Linked DNA regions of Oryza sativa Japonica Group. The protein of the gene in region 1 interacts with the protein of each later gene in a pairwise test. Links are inferred from orthologs where the notes say so. Each region holds a gene or a part of one and is shown in the gene's direction. Other genes may lie near its edges.

Region 1 (6,267 bases):
TGTCTCCGGTGGCTGCGTGCCTTCCTGCCTGCCTGCGTGTCACTGACATGTGGGGGCCACGAGTCGGTCGCATTGACGTGGTGTGTTCCAGTAGGATAGCGACACGTCAGCGCACACGTTGCAACGCGCCATGTTTCGTTGACAATTCAAATCTGACCTGGTATGTACTCCTATGTTGTTGTAGTATGTTGTTGGTCAAGCCAGGGATTACAAGTGGTCATATAGAAAAAAATAAAACGTGGATGTTAATTATATGTGGTTGTTCCTTCTCTATAATAGATACTCCCTCCGTTTCATAATATAAATCATTCTAGTATTGCCCATATTCATATAGATGTTAATGATATATATATATATGTCTGGATTCAATAACATCTACTTCCTCCGTTTCATATTATACTAGTAAGACTTTTTAGCATATGTCTAGATTTATTGACATATATATATATGTGCCTAGATTCATTAACATCTATATGAATATGGACAATGCTAGAAAGTCTTATAATATGAAACGGAGGGAGTATATGAATATGGGCAATGTTAAAATGACTTACATTATGAAACGGAGGAATCATATTGTATTGTTTTGGTGTAAGTATGCAATTGGTTATACGGAGTATATGGAAAAACTAAAGTAACACTTACAATCTACTCCTGTATTTTCTTACTAGCTTAACAACTTAACTACTCCCTACATTTTTTATTTATATGACATTGTTTAGGCCCTATTTATTTCAGCTTAGAATTATTATAATCTGAATTATTAGCAATAATCTGAAACAATCATGTAGATCATTATAATAATCTATAAGCTAGATTAGTATAATATGATAATCTCCTCTAAACGTGCTTCTTTCAAATTAGTAGGTGGCTAAAGACCCACTAATCTTAAAATTTGTATGCAAATTACCCACCACTTCCATCGAACCCAATAGATTGAGTACATCCGCTTCCTCTCTCCACAGTGCAGGCGAATCCGGCGCCTCCCCCAGCCGCGCATGCATCCGCTTCCTCTCTCCCTAGTCGCGCGCGAACCCTTCCCCAAGCCGTATCGTCATCGCCGCCATTTCATCCTTCTCCCACTCCACAATAGCTTAGGGTATTAGAGACATCAGCCTTTCGAAACCAATAATATATGTCTCTAATAATCCAAAGAAACAAACAGCTAATAACTTATTTTATTATAACTTATTATAATCCAGCTTAATAATCTGGATTGCAATAATGTTTAGTTATTAAAAAAAAGGGTAGTACGCACTGGAAAAATTTGAGACTCAAGTGAAGTTGTTGAAAGAAGATCGAACGTTAGAAAAAGAATTATGTCGTGATACAGTGATTTGTTCTTTAATGAGAAAAGGTTAGAATCTTTAATACCTGCAATGCACGTTCTTATCTTTATCGTGGAGACGTAAATAATTACTACTACAATACATTTTAATTGAAACAGAATAAAACAAGCTCGATGATACAAATCAATAAAATAGTAACCTAATGATATGACATGCGATTTTATTGACAAATTTATTATCACCACTCGTAAGAGTGGTAAATAGTTAATTATTCCAATGAGAGTTGGGTTCTTCTTTGTATGGCAGGGAGAAAGAAAAAAGATAAATGAGTAATTTTACACTCAAGACATGACTAATGGGTTAGGGAAATAATTTCCTAGCTAAAAATACTTATATTTTTAAGACGGAGATAGTACCTCATTTCATCTCAGTTTTTCATTCATTTACATTTCTCAATCAGGCTTCTCATGATCCATTATCCACACATACTGCGGTGACGTGGCTTCCGTAGATTTAAAAAATGACACACGAGCAATAACCCCAATATTTGGGAAAAGCCTTCTCTTCAATGATAAAAAGATGGAAATGATCCAGGAGGATGACATTTGCAAATACGTGAACCGGATGAGTCAAAAACCCAACAGAGACTGGAATCAGTTGAGTTTCAGCATCAGCGCCCCCAAACCAAATAATTTTGAACTCTCCGGACTCCGGCCGCCGCCTTCCAGAGGAACCTCGCGGCTGCCGGTGCCGGTGCCGGAGAAGACATGGCCGGGAAGAAGAAGGCCCTAACAAATCCCGCCTCTCCCTCCGCCTCCGCCTCCGCTTCCACCCCTAAGAAATCCACCGCCACCTCCAAGGACCGCTCCACGCCGAAACCCCGCAAAAACCCCAACCCCAAGGAGGAGGCACCACCGCCGCCGCCCGCCAACAACAAGCGCCTCAACCCCCAAGGGGGATCCAACCGTAAGAAGAAGGCCGATGCGGGGACGCCCTCCAAGAAGCCGAAGCGCCAGCCGCCGGAGCCCAAACCTCGGAAGCACAAGGGGGCCAAGAGCGAGAAGCCGCACCGGGTTTCCGGCGAAGGGGAGAAGCCCACGCCCACGAAGAAGAAGAAGAAGAAGGAGAGCAGCAAGGAGCCCAAGCGCGAGAAGCAGCAAGCGTCCGCGCCTATGTCGACTCCCTCGAAGAAGAACAAGGAAGCCAAACGCGACACAGGAGGAGCGGGGAAGCCCACGCCCACCAAGAGGAAGCTCGGCGACGTGGATCCCCCACAGGAGCGACCGTCCGGTGAAGGCCAGGCAAGCTCTCCCACGCCCGCCAAGAAGCGGAAGGACAAGGCGGCGGCGGCGGAGGCGGTTGCCGACCACGGCGCCGGCAGCTTCCCGATGGCTCGGGTGCGGCAGATAATGCGGGCCGAGGACGCCACCATCCGCCCCTCCAATGAGGCTGTCTTCCTCATCAACAAGGCCACCGTATGGTTCTTTCCTTCCTTCCCACATTCTTTCACTTAACTCGCATTTGGTTAATGAAACTTAGTTTATGCAATGATTTGTGATGGCAATTAGCAATCGAGGATTGGAGCTTCTCCATCCTAATGTGATGATTTGGGTTGGACTGGAATCTAGTTAACCTAATGAGATTTAGGTCGGCGTTGCTGTGATCGCCCACAAGGTGTTTGATGAATTGTCTGATATGATCACAGATCACGAATGGTGTTTTCTACCTCCAAATGGTAGATGTTACAGGTTGTCTCAGAAGTCCAAAGCTTGATTTCTCTGCTTCTGCTGCCATCAAACTTTTGGCAGGAGGGTTTATGCACGATTGTTTTATGTTTGTATTTGTTGGTAACTCGCTAAAATGTTGCTGTTCTCTGATGCATTAGGCATATGTTACTGGTTTATGGCATACTGGCAATGAGAATATTATAGAGGGCATATTAAGATAGAATCTGAAGAATATATTTTCATGATTTACCTAGTTATTCTGTCAGATTACTGTGATATTCATTACGGACCAGTGTTTCATTATTTTTTCCATTCCTCGTCCAAAGCTGATTTGGTTAATGTTATATCGCTCACTTGAACCTGTAAATCTGTAACTGCAGGAGATATTCTTGAAGAGGTTTGCAGACGATGCTTATCGAAATGCTTTGAAGGATCGGAAGAAGTCAATTGTGTATGATAACCTTTGTAAGTTGCACATTCATTCCCATTCACTTCAAAACTTTCTTTGTTGCTATGTTGAAAATGCACTTTGTATAGAAAAGCTAAGGGATCTGCATTTATTAAGATTGGAAAAAAATGTTTGAAACATTCAAACAGTACATAGAAAAATGAGAAATCTCAGATAGGTGAAAGAGGGTTTCCCTATTCTACTAATGTACCAGCACGTCATCATCAAGTTTCAAAACAACACAATTTGTGGAAACTGTATGCTGTCTCATTAGAATTTTTTTTAGTGAAATATAAACTACACATGTCCTGAGGTTGTTACTTTTAGTGTTCATATTTTCATTTTCAATCTCTCAAGAGATGAAGAACCTTCCAAGATTGCAATGATAGTCTGGTAGTTATCCCATCTATAGGTAGATGATATTTCCATTTCTGCAGACAGGTTTGTCAAGCCAGGAGAGAAAGAGCAGTTAGTATATAGCTATAGTAGGACCATTGTGTGTAAGAGGGCAACTGCATTTAGTTGCGATTCAGCTTATCAATGCCCCAATATCACTGGCTGGATAGATTCCATTGACAAGAGCCAAAAGATAAATACTCTCTCAAAGATTGGGTACAGATGTTGAGTCCTACAAGTTGCAACATCAAATGGTTACATACATAGGATATTTTGTTATGGTCTTGTCAATATTCTTGCCTGTCCCCCCTTTTTCTTGATAAAATGTGTCCAACTATCAATCTAATGATCATAACTTTACTCATAGCACACACATTTCTGTGATGTTGGCATATATATATATATATATATATATATATATATATATATATATATATATATATATATATATATATATATATATATATATATATATATATATATATATATATATATATATATATATATATATATATATATATATATATATATATATATATATATATATATATATAAAACTAATGCATTTGTGCAGTGATGAAACATTTTTATTTCTATACAAGCCAGTGTAACATGTACTGATATTTTTTAGACTGTCCAACAAAGATAGTTGAAGTCCACTCATGTTCTGAAACTGGACAGAGGGGAATCAATCCCATCGAGAGGCTCTCTTCCTCCTTTTTTCTGAATCTGTGAGAGAGGCAAATGAGAAGTTCAGAGAGACCTCAACTCTTCTGCATTTCTCTGTCAGTAGTGATAATAACTTATTAAGTTGATCAAATTAGGGATTTCACTTTCAGTACAGATGTTGCATTACTTGCATCTCAAATATCATTTTTTGAGCCATATTTTTTGACATTGGCCTTTGATATATGCCCCAGCTTCTTTTTTTTTTCTCTCAATGATGCAGACTTTCAGAGGTCATAGGATAAATTCTTTATAACCAGTGACCTACAAAATAACCTCAGGAATTCATATACTTAAACGTCTATGCTTTGCCTACTTGCACCTTTTTTTTTTTTTTGGGGGGGGGGTGTGCAAATGTTCCAACTTCCTGACAGAGTTATCGTGTAAAATTGACTCAGGAAAAACAATCATAAAACATGTTTCTTATGATCTGTGATGGCAAGATCAGCATCCAACATGTGAATAGCTTTAACATCTTTCATCTCAACTCATAGACATACACTTTTTGTGGATGGGCTCATCTCTGAATTGCAATTAAAGTTCATTGATCCTGTCTTCCGTGAGGTTGAAGATATAGTTAATGTTCTATTTCTTTTGTCCTTTTATTTTTCTTTATCTCACAGCACATCTGCCTTCCTTTTCAGCAACAGCAGTGTGCAACCAGAAAAGATACAAGTTTCTCTCAGGTCAATATTTGTCTTTTTTACAAACCCATGGAAGCCTATTTTAATCAGCAAAGGCTCTTCATATGCCTTAGCCTTTTAGCAATATCATTATTTACAAATCGTTTCTGTGGTCTTTGCTCAGATTTTGTTCCACAGAAAGTTACAGCTGAAGATGCTTTGAAGGCTCCAGTTAGCAGCCAAGTGAACCAACCACAATAAGTTGCTAGTGCTCCGCGAGGTATGCTGCTATGTTTTTACTACTTCCTAGCTTTTTTAAGGAGCGAATTACTGGAAATTAGTTTTCCATGTTGTGAAAGTTCCAGCATTCAGCTGCTCCATCCTGTAGGGAGGTCATCCTTTCACGAGTTATCTCCTGGGAGGGTTCTGCAATTGTAAACGCCAGCTGTGCAGCTCATGTTGCCCTCAGGACTGGCATCTTGCGACATGTTCAATATGATTCTGATCAGAATCGGAGGCTTAAAAGAAGATTATAAGGGGAAACCTGAGTAATCTACATATGAAAGAAGCATGATGAAACTTTTTGTCATGAGAATCACTTGAAATATGCTTGCTTAGAGCCTCAAATCAGGATCACCTTTTTGGCTGTGTAAGCTGTGGGTTGTGTGAGGTGGATGTAGCTTAGGCTAAATGTTACTGTGTATTTTTTTTTAGATAATACGTTACTAGTAGTATACATTTGTGAGTTCTGACTTGTTCATGTACTAGTTCATTACATATATTTTCGCAGGTGCATGCTTTACCAATTACTTGCTGGTGCAAATATGAATGCCTAGCACCATGAGATGCTTGTCTTGCACTGGAGTTTATCTCCTATGGAATCCACGAGTAGGCTGTTATGGAGGATTTGTATTTGTACCTTGTTTCAAAATAAATAAAACTAGTATGAGATATGATATATTTTAGAACTATGAATCTGGGTATGAGTATTATAATGTATAATATCTCATATTAGATCTATTTATTTTGTAACCAAGAGAGTGCTTGCTTTGTTTCAT
Region 2 (5,048 bases), on another chromosome or scaffold:
GTATGATCGGAATAAGATCAAGCTAGCTGTAGCTTAATAACAACAATTAACATGTGCATGAGCTTCGAAATGGCACTGTAATCTACAGAGAAAGAAACACCGTCAGAGATCTTGAACTCGAAGATTAAGAGCAAAGATGGCGACAATTAACGAATAGAACAGTGTCAGTTTCACATCCCAATCAGCTCCTATATGTATCGATCAAGGACAGGCCATTGTTAAGTGTAACCCCTATACACAAGGCAGGCATCTCTTAATCCCTTTTCTTCTCATTAACTAGGTAGATCATGGGCATCAGCATCACTGCAATAATGTCACCTTTTGCTTCATGACATATTCAGTTAATGTAAAGCCACAAATTTCAGCAATTTATGCATCCATGTTTTTCATATGCAAAGAAAACAAAAAACTCTATTGAGGATCTGGCACCTTCCTTATCTAAGAAAACAACCAGACAGAGTTCAAGTCTGATGAAGTCCATTATCTAAAAAATTCTGATGAAGTTGCACAATGTTGTAGGTATAAATGCCATGTCATGTAGGTCTAGTGGAGCAAGCACCTTAAAAGAGGAGTTTAAAAAAGATCAGAGAGTATATATTACTTAATTTTTTTCTACAACTAGATAAGAAAAATTTTCTCAAAAAAATAAAACTAGATACTACTTAAAAAAAAAAGGCATTACAAAAGAGAGGGCACTTGGGAACTTGACTCGATGCCACTTGTCAGTAGTACTTATGCGAGCCAAGGCCTTCACCAGCGGTATGAGCCGGCTGCTAGCTCATACGCGCTCGGCACAGTGCCGGCCACTGCCTGGGCGAGCATGCCTGTGAGAGGGCACCGCCTTGGTGAGCGTGCGAGTTAGCGCTTGAAGAAGAGCTAGCGCATCCTGTTCATCGCTTAAAAACCTCTATGAGCTAGCTAAGAGCTGCCCATTGGAGACAGCCTAATTGACCTTGTGCTTTGGCAACGTGATTTCTGCTTTCGCATCACTCGAGAAGGCTTCTTTTCAGAGTGGTTGGTAGTTAGTGGCGAAAGGCCAAGGTTATTATTTTTGGATCTAAGGTTTGCTTAATTAGTGGCCTAAGACGACCCGGCTGACGTGTGAAGGGCTCGGATGGAGACATGCTGAATTCGCCAATATCTGAAGATAGTGAACCTTGTTGGCTGATTGCGCTGTCCATGTGCTTAACTTAGTGTCACCCATCACAATTTTTTACTCCTATCTAGACCCAGTGATGTTATATCTACCGATGTGGCTGTTTACGGATCAGGATGCTCTGCAGTCGACTGCACCGCATGTCAATAATAAAAGCGCGGTGCAGTCGACTGCAGAGGATCTTAATCCATTGCTTTTAACATATATATTTTAAAAAATTATCGATGATCAGATTTAATATAAGAATTCCATACTTCTATTAAATATATAAGTGATGACTAAACATGGTTTTTTTGGGACATAATGTATTTATTCAACATCTGAAATTGTCTAGGAGGGACTTAGGTCACGTTATTATTGGACGTATCATGTATAATTGTTTGTAGAGATGAATCAAATATTATATGCCAGAGACCTAAAGTAACTTCAAGAAATCTAAAACAATGATGACGCGGAAAGCTTGTGAAGAAATCGTAGTTTGAGAATGGTAGTTATCTAAAAGTTGATAAACTTAGAAGAACCGGAGAAAAAGAATGAAATCGTCCAAAAGTCTTTTGAATTTTCATCTATAATTAAATTAAGAAAACAATATGGAACGTTTACCATTTTTTGATTAGGAGTAAATAGCAAATGTACACTATTATTGCCTTAGCAAAATGTTCATTGAAAACTATAATACATTATCCCCTTCGTCCCATTTTAAGTGTGGTTATGGATTTCTATATTTAACGTTTGACTGTTTATTTTATTTGAAATTTCTTTATGATTAGTATTTTTATACATGATTTTTTAATTTTTTTAAAATAAAACGATGGTTAAATGTTGAACACGGTAGGAGTACTAACTAACATAAGGTCATCTCATATAAGATTTTTTTTCTGACAAGAAAAAAAAAGAAACAAATGCCATGGAGAATAATCACATTAAACCAATATAAATTCCCTTCCTTAATTTTGATTGAGATGTGACTGGAAAGGTGTGTCAGTGCAGGCACCAAAACACGACAACCATCTCCTTCCTCACACCAAAACAAAACCGGGCCAAGACGGCTCCATGACCTTAATTTACCTATATAAACCCAGGCCACGTCAGCACCCCCGCCCCACCACGTAGGCCATCCAACGTGGCTAACGGACGGCCGCGACGTCGCCAGCGTGGCACGGATCGCCCGCGCCGCCCCCCCCCCCCCCCCCCCCCCCGGCCCACACCGCTTATCGACAAAAACAAACGGCCTCGCTTCTGCCACGTCGCTCTCCCCGATGCGTTCTTATCCCCACGATTCATCCCACTGCATCCCCCGCGCCCTCCTCTCCTCTTCGTCTTCCTCCTCGCTTCGCTTCGACTGCTTCGATCGAGGAGATCGAGGTTGCGATGCCGGATTCGGACAACGAGTCAGGGGGGCCGAGCAACGCGGGGGAGTACGCGTCGGCGAGGGAGCAGGACAGGTTCCTGCCGATCGCGAACGTGAGCAGGATCATGAAGAGGGCGCTCCCGGCGAACGCCAAGATCAGCAAGGACGCCAAGGAGACGGTGCAGGAGTGCGTCTCGGAGTTCATCTCCTTCATCACCGGCGAGGCCTCCGACAAGTGCCAGCGGGAGAAGCGCAAGACCATCAACGGCGACGACCTCCTCTGGGCGATGACCACGCTCGGCTTCGAGGACTACATCGACCCGCTCAAGCTCTACCTCCACAAGTTCCGCGAGCTCGAGGGCGAGAAGGCCATCGGCGCCGCCGGCAGCGGCGGCGGTGGCGCCGCCTCCTCCGGCGGCTCCGGCTCCGGCTCCGGCTCGCACCACCACCAGGATGCTTCCCGGAACAATGGCGGATACGGCATGTACGGCGGCGGCGGCGGCATGATCATGATGATGGGACAGCCTATGTACGGCTCGCCGCCGGCGTCGTCAGCTGGGTACGCGCAGCCGCCGCCGCCCCACCACCACCACCACCAGATGGTGATGGGAGGGAAAGGTGCGTATGGCCATGGCGGCGGCGGCGGCGGCGGGCCCTCCCCGTCGTCGGGATACGGCCGGCAAGACAGGCTATGAGCTTGCTTTCTTGGTTGGTGTTTTGGTAATTAATTAATCAGAGGACATGTCGGGTTAATTAATCTTAATCTCTGTTTTTTCACTCTTTTTTTTTACCTTTCTTTCTCTCTCTTTTATCTTTCCTTTTCTCAATGTGCTAAAATGAGTCAATTATATGGCTAAATTCTCTACTAATTCGCTTCCATTGACTTCTTCTTAAATTCTCCTAATAATGATCCCATGGTTCATTTGTTTGGGCTGCTAAGATGATTAAACAAGCTTAATTAGTTAATTTGGGTGACTTTTCTTGATGGTGCAGTTTATTTTGGCATGGTACTGATGAGTAGGTATCCATGATGTTCTGTGGTGACCAAACAGACGATGGATGCTTTTTTTTTCTCCATCATTATTTCTCCCAATTTTGTTTTTTTGCTTGGTTATAATTGATATTAGTAGAATGCTTGATTGGTGCTATATATATGCTGTTTTGGATTCCTCTGGAATTCAGAGTGTCGGCTGTGTGATCTCAGGTGTCGGCACAGATAACCTTTGGAAAATGAATAAATAAATTTTACTACCTAGTACTATCTTCTACTGCTAATATACAGTATTAGTGACTAGTGAGAGCATAAAATAAAATATCCAGAGAGGCTAGAGGCTACCTGCATGCACATCCTTAATGCGCAAGCAATGACATGACATCCAAATTGCTGATCTGTGATCAGTCACCACCTGACCCTCTACATATACTTTATGCAGTGCTAACATAAAAGTTTAATGCTGCTTAATTAAGCACTTATATATATAATTCTCAAGCTAGGTGTCACCATGCAGTATGTTTTCTTTGCTTTTCTTGTTGCTGTATATCCTCCCTGTCATAGCATGGCATGAATCAGCTTATCAGCAAGTAAGTATAGAGTAGTAAGTAGTTAGTTGCACTTAGCTTTCATCAGTCACAGACAAGTAGGCAGCAGGAAAGGGCCAGGCAAAAAGGCAGGGAGGATAAGGATGGATGAAGCCTGAATTGAGTGAGCACTAGTGTGTGTGATATGTGTACTGTGGAAGTTTCTTCCACTGGGCTTTTGGGGGCAGGGTCAAGTGAGGCTGGATTCCATTGGCCAGGGAAAGATCTCCCCGGTCTAATTGGATGACAGGTACAGTACCTGTATGTAATAGTGCTTGCTTGCTTGTACTGGCAGCATCTGGGGCTTGTTTTGAGTCAGATCTGAGCAAGGGCTTCTACCTATGGACGAAAACGGTCGGAAACAATATTATTTTTTTTCGAGAAGTCCGAAACGGTCAAGAAATATATGTATTTATGAATTTTACTATTTAGTGTTGATTTCAACGCAACATTGATAGAAGTTAGAAAAACTAAATTTTAGAAACTGTAATAGTCGATAAAAATATTATTATTGTATTATTTACAGGAAAGGTATCGGTACGGTCGGGAAATTTTCATAATGTTTTCACCCCTACCTTTACCTGACTGCCACCACCTACCTATATCTTGATGTTGCTCTTGCAAGAGCAATTTTCGCTTGCCCACCTTTTTTTTGAATCTGGACATGTGCATATTTGTAATTATAATTAAAATTCTTTGTATTTAGAGGTAGAAGAAGTACAAAGCAAAGGAAAAATCCGAGACTTTCTACAACTACAAGCAAGCATGCTTGAGTTGATCCAGGGAGAAAATTAAGAGAAGTGATATACATATATACTTGAACAATTTCTTGCAAACAAAGATCTTGACAGTTCGATTTAGTTAGTTGAAAGTGTAATAAAGAAAATCAGGATTTTACTTACAGTGTGTGATACATCAACATCTAAAACATTTGCAAATTTTCTTTGTACACGTATATCTTTT
Region 3 (5,154 bases), on another chromosome or scaffold:
TCTCTACCTAAGAGGAGAAAATATGGTTTTAAATTTTATTTGTTATACATAACTGACATGTGGATCCCACTAACATGTAGTTGTCACCGTGTCATGCCACGTCAGCATATGGGACAATTTAGAACCGGTTTAGACCTATATGCTACCCAAGACAAGTTCAAGGACTTAAAAATGTATTTTGGAAGTTTAGATGACACAAATGCACAAGTTTAGCGACCGCCTATATAATTCACTCTTTATTTTTCTAGATATGCGGAGGACATAAATACATACAAACATCAGTGGAGGCGTGGAGCCAACATGTTAGGCTATTGTCACATGGCATCAATGAATCTTGATTTAACCTACGTAGACATTATGTTCTTCAATGAATTACATTAGTATATGATTTGCCTTTTGACGCCACCATGTTCCGGCAGAGTTAGCCCATCCATTTGCTTAGCCCATAAATTGATTTAACCATATAAGTTAGCCCATGTGACCATGTTAAAATTATCTACTAAATCCGTTCTAAAATAAGTGTACTCTTGTAATTCAAATTTGAACTAGAAAGTGTACTAGGAGTAGGGGATTAGACAGGGTCGTCCCGAAGGGAGTGCCACAAGTGCGACTGGGCCCCCATTCTCCGGGGTAGAAGGAATTTGTTGAAGTCGCATAGGCCGAACGCAGCACGTCTATTCATTTTCGCTGCGTGCGTTGATTCCCTCCCAAACACGATATTAATCCAAGTAAGTCTTGACCTCGGTGACTCTGAATTATGGATCCGCCCTGTTAAAGTATTGTACAAGAGTACATTAATTTACAAATGATAGTACTCCATCCGTTTCAGGTTATAAGATGTTTTAACTTTTATTAAAGTTAAACTGCTCAAGTTTAATAAAGTTTATAGAAAAATATAGTAATGTTTACACTATCAAATTAGTTTTATTAAATTAATAATTAAATATATTTTCATAATAAATTTATTTTGGTTTAAAAATATTACTATTTTTTTCTATAAACTTGATCAAACTTAAAGTAGTTTGACTTTGACCAAAATCAAAGAAATTTTTTGGTTTTTGTCATCAGAAATTATGGAACAAGTATGTTTGAGTTTTGGATCGTAGACGTGCTCCATTCATGCAGGCACAACGAAAAAAAAATACTAACACGCACGCATGGCTACCAACGCATTGCTACCGCACCAAAGAGGCTCTTGTATATAAGTTAGAGTAATTACACAATAATTATACTCCATTTATCGAAAAGTCTTAAGCATATTTTATTTTCGGGGTTTTCAAATGAGATGATCATATTTGTACCTCCATATATGTAAGACTTAAATAAAGAGATTGTATTTCTCGTTTTGCCATATTAGAATAAATCATTAACCGGAACCCGAGCAACCATCTTAATATTCGTTAGTTACAAGCACACGTATAATTTTTTTTTGTCTCTGTTATAGATGAGTTAGTTTTTTTTTCTTGATTTTGTTAACAAAATAAACACGTTTTAGTTTTTTTTATGGAGGGATTTGGATTAAACTTGCTCTAAACCAAATCACCCAATCTTTCGTTCCATCCGTTTCTTCGCATGTGACAGCTCATCCACACCGATGGAGCAGTGACGAATTTTTTTATTTTTAATTTTATTTATTAAAATATTTACAGAAATAATTTTTAATTTGAAAATTTTACAAAACTAGTCGCCCATCGCCCTTGCCCTTCCAGAAGACGTTTTTTCCGAAGTAGTAGATGGCCGTTGGCTCTACCATAACGGCGGGCCATCGAGGACGCTCAAATTTTACAGGCGGCCCCCTTGCCACCCTCCCAGAGGGCGATTTTTGGCTCTAGGGGGCCACCTACAAAAGGGTTGGGAGGGCTACCTAGAATTTTTGCAGGCATCTCCCTTGCCGCCGCCTAAGAGGGCTATTTTCTACTATAGGGGAGAGGGTGGTATTTTTGCAGGCGGCCCCCTTTAGCCCTCTGGGAGGACGATTTTCTACAGTGCAGGGGGGCCTTTCGTAGGCGGCCCCCTGTAAAGTAAAAAATCGCCCTCCCAAAAGGCTACGAGGGGGCCGTCTGTAAATTTCTCCTCCCTCGATGCCGATTATTATGGGAGGGCCAACGGCTGTCTGCCACATTAGCAAAATCGCCCTCCTAGAGGACGATGGACGACTAATAGTTTTGTAATTTTTTTAAATAGAAAATTATTTTTAAATATTTTAATAAATAAAATTAAAAAATTCGAGCAGTGACCACAGCGAAGCCGGCGCCACTTGTCACGAACAGGCGCCGTGCCACCTCGGCGCATGCCTCTCTACGGCTAGCTACTCCCATTTGTGGTCAACACCTCGTAGCGTCCCTATTTAACGTATCCACACGCATCACAAGATCGACCACCACCAAGCGAGCCCAGCAACAGTTTCACACTTTAGCTGCTAGCTAGTGCTACCACCCACAGGAGGCAACCCTAGCTTTCCCACGCAGCCAATGGAGGCCGGCTACCCGGGCACGGCGGCGAACGGCGCTGCCGCCGACGGGAACGGTGGCGCGCAGCAGGCGGCGGCCGCGCCGGCTATACGTGAGCAGGACCGGCTGATGCCGATCGCGAACGTGATCCGCATCATGCGCCGCGTGCTCCCGGCGCACGCCAAGATCTCGGACGACGCCAAGGAGACGATCCAGGAGTGCGTGTCGGAGTACATCAGCTTCATCACCGGGGAGGCCAACGAGCGGTGCCAGCGCGAGCAGCGCAAGACCATCACCGCCGAGGACGTGCTCTGGGCCATGAGCCGCCTCGGCTTCGACGACTACGTCGAGCCCCTCGGCGTCTACCTCCACCGCTACCGCGAGTTCGAGGGGGAGTCCCGCGGCGTCGGCGTCGGCGTCGGCGCCGCGCGCGGCGACCACCACCATGGTCACGTCGGTGGGATGCTCAAGTCCCGCGCGCAGGGCTCCATGGTGACGCACCACGACATGCAGATGCACGCCGCCATGTACGGTGGCGGCGCGGTGCCGCCGCCGCCGCATCCTCCTCCGCACCACCACGCGTTCCACCAGCTCATGCCGCCGCACCACGGCCAGTACGCGCCGCCGTACGACATGTACGGCGGCGAGCACGGGATGGCGGCGTACTACGGCGGGATGTACGCGCCCGGCAGCGGCGGCGACGGGAGCGGCAGCAGCGGCAGCGGTGGCGCCGGCACGCCGCAGACCGTCAACTTCGAGCACCAGCATCCGTTCGGATACAAGTAGTAACAGCAGCAGAATGGCGATCGGTCTGCACCTGCATGCACACGTATCGCATGCAGATCGAGCTAGTAGTGCAACTGGCTAACTTGAACCAGTTAAAAACTTAAGACTTAGTGATCGTGTGTGGTTTAATTAATTTGCTACGTTCAGGTAGTGATCGATGAGATTTTAATTTCCTACTGTCAGTTTAATTCACCGTTCATGTACTCGATCCAGCTAGTACTACTCCTAGTTACCCTTGTTCTAATCTTAACGCAATTGTGTCGATCGGACGATCGCACGTTTATCTTCAAGTGGAATTTGTCTTATAACACTAATTAAGCGCCTGGAAGCTTATGTACACTTACTCAATTGTGTATTGATCCCTCAAGAGTTGTCAATTACTATTACAAGGTTCATATAAAAGCAAACTCATACAGTGAGTAAGTAGCCAAAGTAACAAAACTAAAAGTAAAAGCAAACTAATAAAAACCAAACAATATAAAGACTAACCATTACTGAATTCTATTGGTGAATCTCCACCAAAAGTTGGTAGAATGCTGCATAATCGTTGACTCAAGTTTACGACACATATCTTTTATTAGCTTGATATGATCACCGTACCTTTATAGTTGAGCCTATTTCTGAAGTCAGTATGTCTCTAAAAAGAACCTACAAATAAGATTTTGACTGCTCAAAATAAAGTTACCAAAACAAAGTTACACTTGCGCACTCGCACTGCATACCAACCCAACGGAGAGAGAGGGAGAGAGATCTAGAGAGAGAGGGAGAGAGATACGGCGCCATATACGGGTGGAGTACTACTGGAGTGTCGCGTGATTTGCCTTCCCCGGCCGGACGGACGCACGCGTGTCCGGTCAAGGACTCACGGTCGCTCGCCTGATCGACGTTGCGTCGCGCCCTCGTCGTACGTACTACGTTCCGAGCCCATCACCGGGCACCGGCGACACGCACGCACGGCGCGTACGTACATACGGATCGTGAATACTAACATATCTACCCAACCCGAATAGATTGCTACGTATCCAACCCGAGTGTTCAGTCTGCATACATACGATACGGGCATGTACAGACACAGCTGTTGCTCGTCGGGTCCGTATTATGATACTCTAAGAAACTTAAGCACAGTAATTGGAGGACGCGATAGAGTCATATGCGAATCATATTATCTAGTCATATGTATAGCAGGATTCTCAGATCGTATAATTGGGCACGCGCGCGCGCTGCCACACCAGCGGATGTTAATTTGGATGGCGCGTCACACGAACTAGCTTGCTTGCGGAGGGTACGTCGTCTCGCTGCCGGCACACGGACGTATACGCGTCGCGGAGGGTTGCCCGGTTCTTCCGCCGCGGCCCGCGGGCGTACGTTAATATATGCTGCTTTCAGCCGCGTGGATCAGTATCAGGGGCTTCGTTTCGTTTACCCCCTGCATCGGTGGCCAGTGCATGCCCGTCTCGGCTGCCCGCTTTGGGAACCGCAGGCCGCAGCATCGCCTAGTTTTGTGAGCTCTCTCCAGCATCGATCGCAGCTAGTAGCTCCTTCCCCATGTATGCATGCATTGCCTACGGGGGCCCTGTCGATCGATCGATCGATCCATCGATGCATCCTCCTCTGTATGTCTCTCTCCCCTACTGTACGCACGACCGGGTGAGGTCAGGTCAGATTTTTTTTTATTAGAGCAGGTACAATAGTATGCTATAAGCCAACTGTAATATAATATATTTTAAAGAGATAAAAAAAGAGAGAGAATAGCAGCGAGCTACATATATGTAGCTAGCTGTAGTATGGACTCCAATACATAATATGTGTATGACAGATGAGTTATTAATAGTATAATAAACAATTATTGCATGAATGGGCTATTCCCAACTCAAAACACTAGACATAGTTTTCATAAACTCCACATCATCAAGAAACT

What was found.
Region 2: the proteins of nuclear pore complex-interacting protein family member B13 (region 1) and nuclear transcription factor Y subunit B-10 interact in binary tests that used the Arabidopsis thaliana proteins (3 or more experiments, as listed by UniProt). The link is inferred for Oryza sativa Japonica Group from reciprocal best matches to the Arabidopsis thaliana genes NF-YC10 and NF-YB3.
Region 3: the proteins of nuclear pore complex-interacting protein family member B13 (region 1) and nuclear transcription factor Y subunit B-3 interact in binary tests that used the Arabidopsis thaliana proteins (3 or more experiments, as listed by UniProt). The link is inferred for Oryza sativa Japonica Group from reciprocal best matches to the Arabidopsis thaliana genes NF-YC10 and NF-YB6.

What each region holds. Positions count from the first base shown.
Region 1 is NC_089037.1:36,866,920-36,873,186, forward strand, and holds nuclear pore complex-interacting protein family member B13, read left to right. Parts: upstream 1-1,946; 5' UTR 1,947-2,056; coding exon 2,057-2,764; intron 2,765-3,396; coding exon 3,397-3,481; intron 3,482-5,230; coding exon 5,231-5,272; intron 5,273-5,393; coding exon 5,394-5,470; 3' UTR 5,471-5,489; intron 5,490-5,574; exon of another isoform or gene 5,575-5,597; 3' UTR 5,598-6,029; downstream 6,030-6,267.
Region 2 is NC_089041.1:25,144,340-25,149,387, reverse strand, and holds nuclear transcription factor Y subunit B-10, read left to right. Parts: upstream 1-2,452; 5' UTR 2,453-2,527; coding exon 2,528-3,202; 3' UTR 3,203-3,444; downstream 3,445-5,048. UniProt on the Arabidopsis thaliana protein: Component of the NF-Y/HAP transcription factor complex. The NF-Y complex stimulates the transcription of various genes by recognizing and binding to a CCAAT motif in promoters.
Region 3 is NC_089036.1:30,654,422-30,659,575, reverse strand, and holds nuclear transcription factor Y subunit B-3, read left to right. Parts: upstream 1-2,375; 5' UTR 2,376-2,471; coding exon 2,472-3,236; 3' UTR 3,237-3,550; downstream 3,551-5,154. UniProt on the Arabidopsis thaliana protein: Component of the NF-Y/HAP transcription factor complex. The NF-Y complex stimulates the transcription of various genes by recognizing and binding to a CCAAT motif in promoters. Plays a role in the regulation of the embryogenesis.